Linked DNA regions of Ovis aries. The protein of the gene in region 1 interacts with the protein of each later gene in a biochemical or structural test. Links are inferred from orthologs where the notes say so. Each region holds a gene or a part of one and is shown in the gene's direction. Other genes may lie near its edges.

The links.
Region 2: the proteins of DLAT (region 1) and PDK2 form a complex in vitro, tested with the Homo sapiens proteins (2 studies listed by BioGRID). The link is inferred for Ovis aries from reciprocal best matches to the Homo sapiens genes DLAT and PDK2.

Annotation. Positions count from the first base shown.
Region 1 is NC_056068.1:22,024,350-22,033,112, forward strand, and holds the start of DLAT (dihydrolipoyllysine-residue acetyltransferase component of pyruvate dehydrogenase complex, mitochondrial), read left to right. Parts: upstream 1-4,242; 5' UTR 4,243-4,287; coding exon 4,288-4,566; intron 4,567-5,056; coding exon 5,057-5,158; intron 5,159-6,002; coding exon 6,003-6,127; intron 6,128-6,272; coding exon 6,273-6,426; intron 6,427-8,763.
Region 2 is NC_056064.1:36,290,696-36,299,458, reverse strand, and holds the start of PDK2 (pyruvate dehydrogenase kinase, isozyme 2), read left to right. Parts: upstream 1-4,334; 5' UTR 4,335-4,456; coding exon 4,457-4,574; intron 4,575-4,934; exon of another isoform or gene 4,935-5,898; coding exon of another isoform or gene 5,899-5,968; intron 5,969-6,353; coding exon 6,354-6,495; intron 6,496-8,763. UniProt on the Homo sapiens protein: Kinase that plays a key role in the regulation of glucose and fatty acid metabolism and homeostasis via phosphorylation of the pyruvate dehydrogenase subunits PDHA1 and PDHA2.

The DNA of each region.
Region 1 (8,763 bases):
GATGGCTCCTTTAGCTGACAGAAGGAACTCAAAAGATACCTGATGTCTTTCATATAAGTTTACCTGGTTTCCTCCTACTGAAGAATGATTTCTCATCAGAAATGACTGGGACAATTTGGGAAAGTCAGTTAAAAGCAAGAATAATTCATTACAAAAGCAGACAGAAGAAAACAGTATATTTGCCTTTTTTTTTTTTCTTTTCTGCCCCCCAGGAAGTCTGGAGAAAAAGTCCTCCCATCACCAGTTTCTCTGCTGCATGAATTTTAGTGTTTTGCTGTAAGACAGCATGAGGGTTATCAGACTAAAATTTGTTATTGTATTTTCAGTACAATTTGTCTTGAATGTTAAGTCAGTTTTGTCAGTATTCTTTCAGCAAACATTCTTTCCATTATGTAAATTTAAATTTTCAGAGGAAATTAAATCAGAGCAAATTTTCAGAGTCCTTTACCTTCTTTGTCTTTTATCTCTGTGTCCTTTGGAAAAGAAGCTGCGTGGCCTTGGTTCCTCCACAGAAAGCTTAAGTTGATTTCATAGCTCATTAACCTCAGAGGCCATGGGTAATAATGAAGCACCCCCATTACAGGATGGCACGCCAGTATGTTTTTGTAAAATGTGTTGGTAATCCTCATTCTACTTTCTAAACAGGAGCCTATTCTAGGAGTGTGCATTGATTCATTCTGGTTTGAACAGTCTCCTATTTGATATATAGGAGACCTATTGACTTAAGAGTATTGCCCCCTGTTGGCATTTGTGTGGGACAGTCCATCCTGCTACCGCTGAAGTTCTTTGAGAAAACTAAAGAACTAGAAATGTTTAGAGCTCATGAAATAATCTCTAAACCCAATTTAAAAAGTGACCCTGTCATAAAAACTAAGTTAATAAAAAGTTCATTTCCTTAAACAGTCTTCATTTAAAAACTGAAGACTATTCTCACTCAGTTAACTAAAGTAGCTGGAATTGGAAAATTTTACAATTTCTACCTAAAGAATTTAGGTTAAATTTACTTGGTACTGAAATGGCTATCCTACTAACTGACCAACTTCTCAGCTCTTTTTGACCAGGATGGTTGTACATTAAGGAAGTTATCTTTATGCCCTATATTCAATCCAAGAGGACTCTAATTACTTAAAACATTTAGGTCATAATTATAATAATTTTCATTTCCCCCATAAAATAAGCATTATGATTGCACACTTCTTCTATTGTCTGAATTTATGTAAGAGGGTATAGCTTGCTTAAAATATATATGTAAAGTTATATTTTCTTAGAAACATGGATGTTTGCAACCATTGCTTTTGAAGAGATTACTGTCATGTATTGTTTTACGTTTTCATAAAGATTGTGTTATACCAGAGGCTTCTGATTATCAAAGTGATAACCAGTTTTAACTGCCTGTATGTACCAGATTTGTGAACTAGTTTTTAAAAAAAAAACGCAGAAACAAACTATGAATAAAATGGAGTTTGCAAACTAAATACCATTCATAATTTTCACTTGTGTTTATTATCAACTGAAATTAATCAAGAAAGCCATTCACATTTAGTGAAAGTAAATTTCCTCAAGTGATCTCCCTGGTAGCATGTTTACTCATTACTTGGGGAGTGGAGATAGGATTACTTTATTGCTGCAGATATTACTACTGGTATTTCTAGTGTTATTTAGCACTTCTTTTGACATTTTATGTAAATATGCAAACAAGTAAGAACCCAAGACTCTAAACTATGACAAAACAGTCTCCAACACAAAAGCAAAAAACACTGAGGCTTTCGGAAATGTATAAAACAACCAGAACCTCCAAATTAATTTGAAAGCTGCTTTCCTAAAACTTAGCCTTTATTTATTACTTTCAAGGTTTTATATATCTAAAGTTTTAGCCCTGGGTGCTTTCATTTGCCTTCCAATTATATTATTTTCATCTATTAATTACAAGCCATTTTAATTGGGTTACTCCATCATTATGTTAAGTATGTCAAGAACTTTCACTACCAACTAATTCCTCTTTACATCTCACCCATTTGATATCAGTAATATTCTACAAGTCTCAGAGGGCTTATTTGACAAACCTAATTATTCCCAGCTTACCTCTGAGGTAAACTAACCACTCCTGGACTGTTTCACCTGTGCCCTCCCATGATTTAGCTACATCTGTCAAAAGTATATTCAAAATGTGAACTTGCTATGCACAGAAAAATGAAAACAACAAGGCTTAAGTAAGGCTAAGTAACTGAACAACAAACCGAAGATCATCTTGTACAAAGGCTAAAGTAATTTAGATCCAGTTATTAAATTCAGAGTGGAAGTACTGTAGTAAGGTATCTTAGCCAATTCAAAATTGTTAAAACATTTAAATAATTTATACAGTATAAGCTCTTTCACTAATCACAATTATTCTTCCATTATTTCTTCCAATTGCTATTCATAAGTAGTTTTACATAATTGCTAACAATATAATTGCTCTACTTTTAATATTATTTCAGGTATGCCTTTCCATTTAATCTGGGAATTCTGTTTCTCATTTGTACTCCCTGCATATCATTCTGTTAGACAACTGTACTTGTTTAATCTTTTCCTCATTTTTGGATAGCTAGATTTTTCCAATTCTTTTTCTGTTATAAAGATAGTAAGTAACTTAAAGTTTCCAATTTAAGTAGGTATGAAATAGTGCCTTCTGGCTGCCTTATTTTTCCAAACGTTTAATTACCTGCAAAGTTTAACATGTTTTAAAATGTTGGTTTTCTTATATTCTTGATGTTCTCTGAACATCTGTATACTGGGGACTTACGAGATATAAATACAGCACGCATTTCCTTCTAGTCTAATGCCACCCTCAGCTCAGAAATGAGATTATTTTCCAATTATAGGATGATAACCTGACCGCAGCCTTGAAATTAAAAGACGCTTACTCCTTGGAAGAAAAGTTATGACCAACCTAGATAGCATATTCAAAAGCAGACATTACTTTGCCAACAAAGGTCCATCTAGTCAAGGCTATGGTTTTTCCTGTGGTCATGTATGGATGTGAGAGTTGGACTGTGAAGAAAGCTGAGCGCCGAAGAATTGATGCTTTGGAACTGTGGTGCTGGAGAAGACTCTTGAGAGTCCCTTGGACTGCAAGGAGATCCAACCAATCCATTCTAAAGGAGGTCAGCCCTGGGTGTTCTTTGGAAGGAATGATGCTAAAGCTGAAGCTCCAGTATTTCGGCCACCTCATGCGAAGAGTTGACTCATTGGAAAAGACTGATGCTGGGAGGGATTGGGGGCAGGAGGAAGAGGGGACGACAGAGGATGAGATGGCTGGATGGCATCACTGACTAGATGGACGTGAGTCTGAGTGAACTCCGGGAGATGGTGATGGACAGGGAGGCCTGGCGTGCTGCGATTCATGGGGTCGCAAAGAGTCGGACACGACTGAGCGACTGAAATGAACTGAACTGAACTGAACCCGACAGTAGAACTGTAACAAATGTAACTGGAAAGGATTCTACGGCAAATTAAAATCGGAAATCTGTTTTGTAAACTTTTTTTCTTCAGAGAAGATGCTTAATCCTGCTACAGCACTCTTGAATGTGGGGATATAGCTTCCATTCATTCAGCTGCTCACACCATTTGGCTGGAAAACCTAATCATCCCGTTTCCTGTTGGGCTACAATCCTGAACTTGAATCTTTGTCACCCAGTACAGCCTGCGAGGAGCGAGGCCCCAGACTTGGGGGCCACAAGGGTGTGCTAAGGCTGGGGGCGCACCGGCGAGCACAGATGCCCCCTCGGGCGGCCCTCCGCCAGAGCGCCTAGCAGGCTCTCGGTGCCCGGCTGGGCCGGGAGCCCCCTCCCATCCATCCTCAGGGCGGGGCCAGGCCCCTCAGCCCACCTCTGACCACTTCACCTCCCGCAGTCCCGCTCTTGCCGCCTTTTTAGGCCCCTCCCTTTCGACCGCGCCCGTCACGGCGCTCAGGTCCTGTCTCCCCGCCCCAGCGACGCCTTCGCCACCGAGCCCACCACTTTCCACTCCTCCCCACATCTAATCCTCCCAGATTCGGCCTGCTGGAACGCCCCCGCCCCCCGTCGTTCAATAGTAGCCGCCCCGACCTGCTCTGGGTCACCCTCAGCCCCTCATTTCCCGGAGAAAGACCATACGTTCTCCGGTCCGTGGAGCGGGTGGGGCGAGGCTCCGCAGCCCGTTTTACGACAACTTGCGGCCGCGCGGCGCGCCTGACGGCAACGCCGCGCTGCTCTTGGAGAGGTCACTCCGGAGACGGCGTTGGTTTTGGGGTGTGGGGGCCGTGGCACTATGTGGCGCGTCTGTGCGCGACGGGCTCAGAATGCAGCCCCCCGGGCGGGATTCGGGGCTCGGTGGACGGCCTTTCGGGAGGAGCCGGGAGCTCGGTGCGTGACCCCGCAGGCTGGCTCGGCTCTGGCTCGCTACAGCAGCAAGACCCCAGGATATGGCAGGGTCCGGGCACTCTGCGGCTGGAGCCCCGTCTCTTGGGCCACACCGCGGAATCGCGTCTTGCTGCAGCTCTGGGGATCGCCTAGCCGCCGCTGGTACAGCCTCCCCCCGCATCAGAAGGTAAGCCCCAGAACCTGTCCTTCGCGGGACCCCGTTGTCCTTCACGGCAGACTTGTTGGCTTGGGATCCTTCCTTAGAGGCCTTGATGATCCTCCGTCTCCGCCCCCCTCCAGGTATACTCTGTCACTGTCCCTTCTCCATTACCCAGCTTTGCTCTACCTCTTGAGCTTCCCTCTCCTGACCTATGCCATTGAAGAAGGAGCTGCAGGCTTCCTTCTGACCGGTTCCGTTCAAAGAGCGCCAAGCCTGGGGCGGTCTGTGGAATGTCTGCTGAGTACATGCTGTTAGACCCACCCAGTACAGCGGAACGGGAGATCTGTCCTTCTGGTTGAGAGCTTTTGGTGTTAGGAAATCCCTTTATAAGCCCATTGCCCAATGTGTGAAGAGACTCAGACTCAGCATTAAATTAGTCTGAATTGAACGAGGTGTTACACCAGATTGGGAGTTAGGTAGCTCTTAAAAATGAGTATTTCTCCCTTTTCTCCTCTAGGTTCCATTGCCTTCACTGTCCCCTACAATGCAGGCAGGTACCATAGCCCGGTGGGAAAAGAAGGAAGGAGAAAAAATCAATGAGGGTGAACTAATTGCAGAGGTAAGTTGTAAATGAGTTAGAAGAGACTAGCTTAGACTAAACGGAGCCTTAACTTTCTGAGTAGGTAATTATCCCTTTTTTCTGGAGAATTCCGTGGACAGAGGAGCCTGATGGGCTGCTGTCCATGGGGTCACAAAGAGTCGGACACGACTGAAGCAACTTAGCATGCATGCATGCATTGGAGAAGAAAGTGGTGACCCACTCCAGTGTTCTTGCCTGGAGAATCCCAGAGATGGAGGAGCCTGGTGGGCTGCCATCTATGGGGTTGCAGAGAGTTGGACAGGACTGAAGCGACTTAGCATGGATGCATTAAGAAACTTAGATGTTTTTTACAGTTTGATATGAGAGATTGGTTAGCCAAGTTAGCAGCAACTAACCAAACTGATTTTTAGCCTGGGTGTTTTTAATAGTAATTCTTTCAAACCTGTGATAGAGGCTTTATTTTCACTGTTGAACTGTATGATTTTTTTTTTCATTGCTGTATGATTGATTTACAATGTTGTGTTAAATACTCTTGTCCATTATGGTTTATCACAGATACCAAATGTAGTTCCCTGTGCTATATAGTAGGACCATGTTGCTCTCCATTCAGTATGTAATAGTTTGCATCTGCAAACCCCCAAATCCTACTCTGTTCTTTCCCTGCCCCACCCCCCGATCACAAGTCTATTCTCTGTGAGTTCATTTCTGTTTCGTAGATAAGTTCATTTGTGCCATTTTAGATTCCACATATTTTTCTTTCTTTTTCTGACTGACTTCACTTTGAACTGTATGATTTTAGACACAAGTTAATAAAACTTGATACTGGCAGCAGAAGCCTAAGCTCCTGCTTTTGTGTTAAAAGGTTGAAACCGATAAAGCTACTGTTGGATTTGAGAGTGTGGAGGAGTGTTACATGGCAAAGATCCTTGTTGCTGAAGGTACCAGAGATGTTCCAGTTGGAGCAATCATCTGTATCACAGTTGAAAAGTGAGTAGGATCAGGGGAATCTGTGAAAGTCAGGTGCTTAAGTGGAGTATTTTAACCTATAACTGAGGAGTTAGTTAAAGGCTTCTAAGGCTGATACATGTGCTTTATAACCCCTTTATACTTACATGTTCTTTCTTTTTCTTAGGCCTGAAGATGTTGAAGCCTTTAAAAATTACACACTGGATTCTTCAGCAGCACCTGCCCCACAAGCAGCCCCGGCACCAACCCCTGCCGCCGCCGCTCCATCACCTGCGCCTTCTGCTCAGGCTCCTGGTAGCTCATATCCTACTCACATGCAGGTGAGGCTCAGCCTCTGGGTGTCTGCTTTAGAAAATTTATTATTTACTCATTATTTTTCATAGATGAGTCGCATCCTGGAAACTAGCATTAAACCTGGCTAGTTTTTGTCATTTGAAAGTAAATAGAGATTTAAACATGAAAATTGACAACATTTGTTCTTAGTGGTTATTTCCAGATGTGTGTACTTGGATAGTTCTTTTAACCTTTCTCAGCCTCAGTGTAGCAGGTAGGATAATGTTTGGTACTTTTCATTCAAGAATATCATGTTGGATTTTGAGGATAGTTTGTACTTGTACTTTGCCATGCTAAGTCGCTTCAGTCGTGTCCGATTCTGTGATCCTGTGGACTGTAGCCCACCAGGCTCCTCTGTCCATGGAATTCTCCAGGCAGGAGTACTGGAGTGGGTTGCCATGTCCTCCTCCAGGGGATCTTCCCAACCCAGGGATCAAACCTGTGTCTCTTTTATGTCTCCTGCATCGGCAGGTAGATTCTTTACCACTGAGCCACCAGGGAAGCCTCTTTCCTGAGCTCTCTGTTTGCACATTGTGGGACAGTGTTATCCATGCTTTAGAAAACGGTGATGGCTATTATGTGAATTTCTCTGAGCAACAAAAGAAAAATACTATTGACTATAGTCTTTAAAAGTTAAGCAAGAATTTGTAACTGATCATTAGCTTTTTTTAGTATTAATTTATTTTTTAATGGAAGGATAATTGCTTTACAGAATTTTGTTATCAGCCAAATATCAACATGAATCAGCCATAGATCATTAGCTTTTAAGGAGTTGAATTTCATCAACTTTAACTTAATATGGTGGCTCTGTGGTAAAGAATTTGCCTGCCAATGCAGGAGACGTGGGTTTGATCCCTGGGTTGAGAAGATCCCCTGGAATAGGAAATGGCAACCCACTTCAGTATTCTTGGTGGGAAAATCCCATAGATAGAGGAGCTTGGTGGGCTACAGTTCGAGGGATTGCAAATACAGTGAGGCATGACTGAGTACAAGCCGTGACATAAAGATAGATATTGCTTGAACATTAATACCCAGGTTAGAATTGAAATTAAGCCAGTAACATTGCTGAGTGATTTATCACTTGACCAGTTTTAACATGCCATTTTAATAGCAAGATGTCAGGATGTGTAGAAAGAAGTCTTCCTTAAAATAATTATTTGGGAAAGGCTCAGAATAAAAGTGACCTACACATGTAAAAAGATAAAAAAATTAATTGTCCAAAAATTTTGTGACTTTATTCAGGGCAAAAATGTTATGGGAGTTGGGGCATAAAAACTGTGTCAGAATTTTTTTCCTCAGTCCTGAGTTTCTTCCTCTTCTGAGGTTATGGTTGGTTACTTTCTATATTCTTCCTCCTGCTAAAGACCTTTGGATCCTTTTGTTAATTTGTTATTATACAGTACCTAAGAGGCAATGGCAACCCACTCTAGTACTCTTGCCTGGAAAATCCATGGACGGAGGAGCCTGGTAGGCCGCAGTCCATGAGGTCATGAAGAGTCGGACACGACTGAGCAACTTCACTTTCACTTTTCACTTTCATGCATTGGAGAAGGAAATGGCAACCCACTCCAGTGTTCTTGCCTGGAGAATCCCAGCGATGACGGAGCCTGGTGGGCTGCCGTCTATGGGGTCACACAGAGTCGGACACGACTGAAGTGACTTAGCAGCAGCAGCAGCAGCAGTATCGGCAGGCAGGTTCTTTACCGCTAGCACCACCTGGGAAACCCACTTATATATACTCCCTGTATAGAGTTTTTTTAGTAGGCGTGAAGTGCTGTCTATTGAATAAAAGCCCCCAGTTAGTGTTTTTCCTTGACATGTAGTGTTCTGTTTTCTCAGAGTAAGTGAAATAATCCAGTAGTATTTAGAAAAGACTAACAATAAAGAATAAGCGTCAAATAGACATATATAATCTGGAGGAGGGCATGGTAATCTACTCCAGTATTCTTGCCTGGAGAATCCTCATGGACAGAGGAGCATGGAGGGCTACATTCCATGGGGTCTCAAAGAGTCAGACATGACTGAGCGATTCAGCACAGACATGTATAATAGCGTCACAACAAAGCTGAAGGTGGTAAATGTAGTCACTGTTGATTCTGTTAACTAAATCAGTGTCTACTGATTAGTTTATTAGATATTAGGATTACCCCCTGTATATTTGTGTGTTTTGGATATTGGAAATGGATAAAAGCCAGCTGCATTTTTTCCTAAAGAATTAAGACTAGAACTTTTTCTTCTCTTAGATTATTTGTAGAAATTTTTGTATAGGAATAATTTTCTTCTTTGGGCATCATGTTCTATTCCCTGGTCTTTTATTAACATTC
Region 2 (8,763 bases), on another chromosome or scaffold:
TGGACATGCTGCTAGACAACCAGGACAGGCTGTGCTGGGACCACTCTGGGAGCATGATGGTATCCTCAATAGAGTGGGGACCAGTCCTGGGCCACAGAGATGATGGACAGATACAGAGCAGATACCACTTCTCACCCACATTACCATCCTGACCTTGAGGCCTGGAGGGATCTCCATGCGATCACAGAGGAGCGACGCTTGAATGTAGAACAGGGAGGAAGCCCCATCACGGCCCATCGGCCAGACCCTACTCTGCCCTCACTGACCGTGGGTTGGAGACCTGGAAGTGGAGCTCTTGGCGCTCTTTGGCTTTTGGAGCCAGTTTAGCTTTGCCGTCTCACCTGTGGCCCATTCTAGAAGTTGAGCTATTTCCAGAAAACCTCTCCTGACCCCGGCCTGTCAGCAGGTCCCCTCCTCAGCCCCTCCCCCCTTTCATGGTACTGTAGCAGGGGAGCTCCTTCCCCCTCCTTGTGCCTTCTTTGTATATAGGCTTCTCACGGCAACCAGTAAAGAGCCCCCTGTTTGTACACACTGCATCTGCCTCCATCTACCCCCACGTCTTACCAACACCATTCCATCTGATGGATCATGATACCTAGGTGATCCATAGGTGGACAGAGCCAGGCGCAGAGCTCTGAGAGGTTGGGAGGGTGAAGCTCTATGGCAGAGATAACAGCTCCTGTTCTCAGGGGTGCCCCAGACTTCAGGGATGGTCACCGTCCCATAACTGAGATTCAGAACATCAGATGAGGAAAGGCCCTGAGTAGACTGTATGGAATCCAAAGCAGCTTCTTGGTGGACACTGTGCCATCCTGGGGAAGGAGTGGGAGTAGAGGCGGTGGTGTGCAGGGTCTGGAAGAGGCAGGAAGCCACTCTGCTGTAGAAGCAGGTAGTCCTGGCTAATGATAGAGTGAGGCTGTGTGCACAGGTGGAGAGCTAAGAGCCCTCATCTGATGGCTACCTTCAGATAAGAGCCTGGTTACTGCCTCGGTTTCCCCACAACCAGACCTAGATACCATGATGAGTAGATCAGATGGTGAACCAGTGACCCAAGGGTGGAAAAACTGAAAAGTCCTAGTGTCCACTCCCTAGCTCTGGGAGGGAGAACCGGGAGCCCTGGCCTGCATCAGCTCTTCCAGACACACTTCTGACCTGAGCTCACAGGCGCAGAGTTGGGTTGAGCTCTCTGCTGCCTCCTCTGGCTAAGGCTGTGGACTGTGCTTGTACACCCTGAATGGTGCGTGGACACGCGTGTCCCAGCCTCTGCTAGTGCCAAAACCAAGCCTCAGACGTGGGAGATGGAGCAAGGCTGCTTACCCTGTGACTTCTCTGTCCTAAATTGTGTCACAAGTCCTTCTGTTAATTGTTCCCAAGGACCTTTGACAAGAAGTATTATCGCTTAGTCATGTCCAACTCTTTGCGACCCCTTGGACTGTAGCCCGCCAGGCTCCTTTGTCCATGGGATTTCCCAGGCAAGAATACCAGAGTGGGTTGCCACTTCCTTCTCCAGGAGATCTTCCCGACCCAGGGATTGAACCTGGGTCTCCTGCATCGCAGGCAGACTCTTTACCGTCTGAGTCACCAAGGAAGTCTTTCTGACAAGAAAGCTGGAAATTACTACTCAGAAAAGCCTAGAGGCAGATCTTCAATTCAGCTTCAGCTGCCTCAGGTGGCCCCCTGTGGCAGCTGTCTGCCCTCTACCCTCTCTATGAGAGCCCACTGCCTCACTTTCAATGCTGGGATTTGTCACTGATTGACAGTGAAATGGTCTAGTTCCTCCAAGAAAACCCCAGCCCCTACCCACAACCAGTGACCAGAGACCTCAGTTCTCCAAATCTGGGTTATTCTCTACGTCAGAAAAAACACACATGTAGGTCGTCAAAGCCTAGCTCGAGTTGATCAGAGTTCAGTCCAGCCCGGTCCAGTCCTTTGCTGCCACTGAAGAATGAAGTGGGATCTATATATCGCTTTGACCCAGGCCCAGCCCCCATCTCCTGTGAGCACTTGTTTGGATGAAAACATACCATCTGTCTCACACACACTTGTGAAAGTAAGTAGACATTTTCAGGACTGTTTCAGCTACACTTTCATGAAAGAAACATACTGGCAGAGATCCAGCAATGCCCACTTTATAGAAAAGAACCCTGTATTATGCCAAGTTTATTGAGTTCCTTGGAGCTGCAGTACCTCCAAACACTTTAAAAGAAGTGTCTTGGCTCTTGTATCAGTTAAAAAAAAAAAAACCCATCAGATGATTCTCCCTCTCCTGGGCACAGGGCTGGATTGCACTTCCTAGGTCCTCCTGGTTGGATGATGCCATTCTGGCCAATGAGTTGTCAGCCGGAGGGAAGGGGATCAGTTTTGGGCTGAGACAGTTAATTGCTGGGTGAGACTCTCCCAGTTCTGCTTCTCCCAGCTCTGACGCTGTGGAAGCCTGTGTTGAGATAAAGTTTCTGTCAGTCTGAGTCCCTGAGAACGCCCCACCAACCCAAGTTGAACATATAGTGGAAAATTTGGGGATTTGTGCCTTTTGTTACCTGTACTCCATTCAGCTAGCAATTAGGTCATTGACGATTTTGGTGAGTGCAGAAGAATGGGTAGGTGAAAGTGAGAAGAAAGAATGATCCATGGGTAGGAGACCGTATTTGCAACAGTGGGAAGATTGAAGTCTGGTTCAAGGCACTAGATAAGTATGGGTGGGACTTGAGCAGGGGAGTGCGGAAGAGATGAGGCTAGAGAGTTAAAGTAGATCATGTGAGAACTGGAAAGGCTCCTGTAAGAAGTGAAAGCCAAGGCTGTGAGCAAGGGAAGTAACACCTTCAGATTTGCAGTGGAAGATGGTACCTGAACCTGTTTGCTCAACTGTAAAATGGTGGTAACAGCAGCACGGTAGAGCTATCTGGAGAATTCAATGACATGATGCATGCAAAGAGTGCCTGGCATATGGAATATTATTCATTCAGCTAAGAGAGTCCCTTCCATTGTGAAGCCTTGCACACAGCTCTGCACTGGTTACAACTGCATCTGTTGTTAACTATTTAATTATTTACTTATGCAGCTCTCTCAACTGAGAAATGAAACAATCAAGCCAAAAGACCATGTCCCAATCCTGTCTGTGTATCCCAATCCAGTCTGTGTTTCCCATTCCCAGCATATAAACCTAGCAACTATTTGGCACTTGGTGAGTGTGGGCCAAGGATTGAAGTGGAAAAACACCTCATAGGGGCAAGTGGGTGGGATACCGGGACAGGACATATCTGGCGTTGGACCACAAGAGGACGAGCTTTGTTCCCATGAGAGATCCGGACTGCTGTGAAGTGCCGGCTCTTGGCCTCCAGCACAGATCATCTTCCAGGACCTTTCTCTAAGAAAGCCAAGTGCGAAAAAGGTTGCTTTCTCGGGTCAAATGCTGCTGCTAAGTCGCTTCAGTCGTGTCCGACTCTGTGCGACCCCATAGACGGCAGCCCACCAGGCTCCCCCGTCCCTGGGATTCTCCAGGCAAGAACACTGGAATGGGTTGCCATTTCCTTCTCCAGTGCGTGAAAGTGAAAAGTGAAAGTGAAGTCGCTCAGTCGTGCCCGAATCTTAGCGACCCCATGGACTGCAGCCTACCAGGCTCTTCCATCCATGGGATTTTCCAGGCAAGAATACTGGAGTGGGTTGCCATTACCTTATCCAAGAGTAGAGAATAATAAAGGTGATTTTAAAAGTTCATTGTAGCCGCCGCTAGGCGTTAATGAGGGGGTTGACTCGGTGTTTTTTAACTGGAAAAGCAAAATGCTGCCTTGTCCTGAGCTGCTTGGATCTTTGTGGAAGTAGCTGTGTTACACGTCTATGTGAGGGATTAGCATGGGCTCGCATCCCGGTTCATCCACAGTCCGAGTCACAGTCGTCCAGACTGGGAACCCACCAGACGCCCTGAGGGAGAGCAGGTGGGTGGAAGTCGGGACAGGTGAATCGGGCCCTCGCGGGCGGAAGAGGATGCGTTGAAAGCTCTCGAACAACCTCCGGGCAGGCAAGTGAAGGAGATTCGGGGAGGGAACGGCGAAACGGAGTGTAAGAGGAAAGGGAATAACGGGCCTTTCGGGAGGGAGGGGTTAATCCGGGCTAGGCCGGGAGGAAGAACTCGCGTAGTGACGCCGGGGAGGCGGGCTCTCGGCGCTGCCTCTTGAAAACAGCAGGCCGCTCGGGGCAAACACTGGGTTAAGGGGGCGGGCCCAGGGGGGAGCCACGTGCCGGGGGGAGAGGCTATTGGCTCTCCTGGAGTTGTTTGTGAGACGCCATTAGCGACGTCGGGGCGCCGCAACAAGCCAATTGGCCGGGACTCGGAGCCCAGTCGGGGTCGCGGTGGGGAGGAGGCGGCCGCCGCGGCACCGGGCTGGGCTGGGCTGAGCCGAGCGCCAGCGCTGCCCGCGCAGGGTCCAGAACCCGAGCCCGAGAAGTGGTCGCCACCGCCATGCGCTGGGTCCGCGCGCTGCTGAAGAATGCGTCCCTGGCAGGGGCTCCCAAATACATCGAGCACTTCAGCAAGTTCTCCCCATCGCCGCTGTCCATGAAGCAGTTTCTGGACTTCGGTACGAGTGAGCAGGAGGCGGCTGGCCCCGGGGGTCTGCGAGGGGCAGGAGTGGGGAGGCTGAGTGACAGGGAAGGTTTGCTTGCAAACCTTGGAGTCCAGACAGGAAAGAGTTAACGGGGAGGCAGGGGCCAGTTGGGTTTGAAAGGGTTAAGGGCACCCCGGCTGAAGAGACTGGACTGTTAGGGGGAAGTGGGGGCACTGAGAAGGAGGGGGTCCACGGTATCTTACTGGGTTTTGCGAAGAGTCTTGGGAGAGGAAGGGGCAGTGAGTCAGTGCCGTTGGAGCAGGAGGGTGTATCCAGGCACTGAAGGGTTACTAGGGATTGTCCTGGAGACTCCAAGAGTAAAGGTCAGAGAGGAAAATGGGGGGTGTTGTAGGAGTGACTAGGGGGCATTGCGAGCCTTCGGGAAGGAGACCTGCCCTGGGGGTCTGTTAGCGGGAGGGACTCTTTCAAATGAGTCAACAGGAGAGACGCCCTGACTGGTACACCTCCCCCCACTGAAAGAGCTGGCCCCCAGCTGTCTTGGAGGACAAGGACGCTTGAAGATCAAATCTGCTGTGGCCTGGCCGTCTGTCTCCAGCTGGGTAGGGGTCCAGGGCACCATGAAATGGAGTCAGACAGCTTGTACCCATCCTTGGCTGCCCCTGGGTTCCTGGGCCAGGGTCACCTACCACCAGTGATCGGGGAGTGGGAAGGCTGTGCCAACATGGTGACTGAAACAGGCATTGTTTAGACAGTTTCTGTTCGCACGGAATTTCTATGGTGCCAGCTAGGGACTAGAAGGGGTTGCCCAGGTCTCTCAAGAGTTGAGGGGACAGTGCCTGGCTCAGGTTACAGCTGCGTCACTGATGGGAGGGGGCGGGGAGGTGGCAGCCAGGACACAGGGCATCTGTTGCCCGATTACTTGTTCACCTGCTTCCCTCCGTGTTTGAGCTCCTGCCATGTAGGAAAGCTGCCTGAGCCCGCTCCCAGCCTCCAGCAGTTGTCTAGTCCAGACTGGACCCCAGTTAACAGAACTGTCACAGCAGGGAGGGACTCACAGTAGAGTGGTCCACTTGGAGTTCAGTGGGTAAAGCAGATCTTCAGAGGGATAGTGACATGCCCTGGGTGACAGAGTTAAAAGCAGAACCTGGACTTAGAACCCAGGTCTCCTGACTCTAGGCCATGACCTCATTCAGTCCTCTACTCACTCTTCATCTTCAAGCCAGACCAAGAATCTAAGTATCTGGGCCCTAGTTCCCCGACCCTGTCTACCTCTCAGGTGGGTGGGCATTAATGTAGGGGCAAGTCTATTGTGGACATAAAGACCACCTGGGCCAAGATGATGCCAGGACCCTATGGCTGCAGCGGTCTGAGCATAGCTTCTCTCAGCCAGGGGAGCTCATCTCAAGGTAGGATGGGTTTCCCAGGCTCCTCTGCCCACAAGCCCTGCAAAGTGAGAGTCTACTAGGAGGGAAAGAAAGAGAAGTGAGATAACTTGGGCTAGAGGCAGCACCCAGGGGGCCCAGGGTGGCCCTGTCCCCTGTGGTTGAAGGCAAGCAGGGTTCAGCTGGAGGTGGCGAAAGGACACCACCTCCCTAAGGGTTAGGCTGGGTGGTGTGGTGGCCACTGCATGGGTCAGGAGGGGCCCCTTGTCCTGTGCCTCCTTGTCTTCTTGTCTCTCCTGAACCGTCAGGAAATGAAGTATTTAGTGACCTGACCCCTTCCCCACCACTAGGAGGTCTTCTGGCTCCAGTGCTTTGTAACTCTTAGGCTCACCTTTCCCTCTCCCTGCAGGGTCCAGCAATGCCTGTGAGAAAACCTCGTTCACTTTCCTCAGGCAGGAGCTGCCTGTGCGCCTGGCCAACATCATGAAGGAGATCAACCTGCTTCCTGACCGGGTGCTGAGCACACCCTCGGTGCAGCTGGTACAGAGCTGGTGAGACCCTTGGCTAGATCCCCAGGCCGCCCACTCCATTGTCAGATGCCCGATGCTCCCAGCAGCCTTGCAGGAGGTGGGGAAAGAGGAGAGGCACAGGGGCTTTGAGAGGTAGGGCAGTTCTCACAGTCAAGTGGGAATCCTAGGCCATAGCAGGGACTCAGATCAAACTTCCAGCCTCCATGTCTCTGAGACAGCCCTATACCCACCACCCTCCATTCTCTGGAAAAGGAAATCATCATTTTCACACCAAAACCCAAATCAGGCTCATGTCAGCATTTGCCACCAGCCCTGACCCTGAAAATCTAGCACCTGTTGGATAACATCTAGCTGGGGCAACTTTGTGGGAAACAGGAAGAAGTGAATCTTCAAGCTGTATAATGCAAACAAATCAGCCTGTTTTGGATGTTGGAAAACACTCAAATGGACACAAGGATGGCACAGTACCAACCCCAAAGAGCTTTAGACGGGCAAAGACCAAAAGTTTATTGCACAGAGCAGCAGTAGCAGAGAGAAATTCTCAGTGAAGTTTACTCAAAAATTTTGTCCAGGGATAAGTATTAAAAACTGAATGACATTAACCAAAAGCCAATCACATGAAGAATAATCAAAAATTTGCTCTGTAACTGGGTGTGTGAGTAGCTAATCATGGTCAATCTTCAGTGGCATGTGTGCAGAAATCTTTTGCCTGTTTTTCTGGCCGTGGCAGGTCTGGTACTACTCTGGCTTCCTTTTTGATTCGGGGTATCCACACCTACTTGGAGCTCAGTGCTGTGTTTAGGTCAGGGAAACAGCAGCAGCAGCTGCTCCTCAGGAGCCCATGATCTCATGGGGAGAATAAAAGGGGCAAGCTTAAGAGCTCCATAGTGGCAGGAGCAGTAAGCTACTGAAGAGTTTGTTTTATTTCAATTAAAAGCAAAATAATATTATTTTAAAATAATGTTGGTTTCTTCCCCTTGTTGAAGAAGTATGACATGCTTACTTTGACATTTGGAGGACACAAAGAAGTAGATAAAAGAAAATGTCAACCCCTCTCTTCCACCCTCTAACCAAACATCCAGGTTTTGTAAGTGCCCTTTATTGATGCCCTTCCAGCTTTTTTCTGTGCATGAATGTGCTATAAATGACTTATTCTAACTAAATGAGGATAAAGTAAGGAAAGACCAGGCACATGGTCTGCGCACAGTGAATTTCAGTTGAATCAGAACATTGTGGGGAAGTTGAAATGGAGGCAGAGTAGGGGTGACGTGTCACTGGGCCTTATAGGTTGCCTAAGTGAACTTTGACCTAGAAAGGAGGGTAGTGTATTCAGACCAAAGGAACTGCGTGTGCAAAGGTGTGGAGGCAGAAGAGAGCCCGGCTAGGGCATCCGAGCACTCACTTTATGGACAGGGCAGTGTTAGTGCAAGTGATGAAGGTGGATTGGGGGACAGAGGGCGGAGCCTGATTTTTGTGTGGCACAATGAGGTCACCCCTGACTGGGGCCTATCCCTTAGAGGTCCAAGACCTCCAAGCCAACCGGCATTTCCTGCCATGGGGCAGCGTGGAAGGCATGGGGAGGAGACAGAAGGTGCCATCTGTTCTCTCCATCCCTCCTCCGGCTCTGTCCAGCTGAGTGACCGGGCTGCCTTTCCAGCTGGTCCTTAACTCCAGGACAGGGCTTCTCGGGCCCCTCCTTGGACACTTGTTTCCTTGGAGAGTCAGGAGATGTGGGGAGGGAGGGCAGGGAGGTGCTGATTGCCCGTGATGCCCCCAAGGCCCATAGAGCCCCTTCTTTTTAAAAAATATTTATTTATTATGTGCTGGGTTGGGTCTGAGCTGTGGCATGTGGGATCTTCCTTGTGGCATGGGGGATCTTTCTTTACGACACATGGATTCTCTACTTGCGGTGCAGGGGCTTAGTAGCTGTAGCACACAGGCTGAGTTGCTCTGTGGCTTGTGGGCTCTTAGTTCCCTGACCAGGGATTGAGCCCATGTCCTTTGTATTGCAAGGCAGATTCTTAACCACTGGTCCATCAGGGAAGTCCCGGAGTCCCTTCTTGAAAATCAGTTACACATGTTGGGGCTTGGCCTGACTTAATTCTTCTCTCAAAGCTGGGAAGTAATGACCAGCAGGAGAGAGTGAAGTGAGACAAGAGGGAATGCTTCCCAATGGATGATTCATTTAGAGGAGAGCAGGAGAGGGCAGTGGCATCCCACTCCAGTACTCTTGCCTGGAAAATCCCATGGATGGAGGAGCCTAGTAGGCTGCAGTCCGTGCTAAGGGTC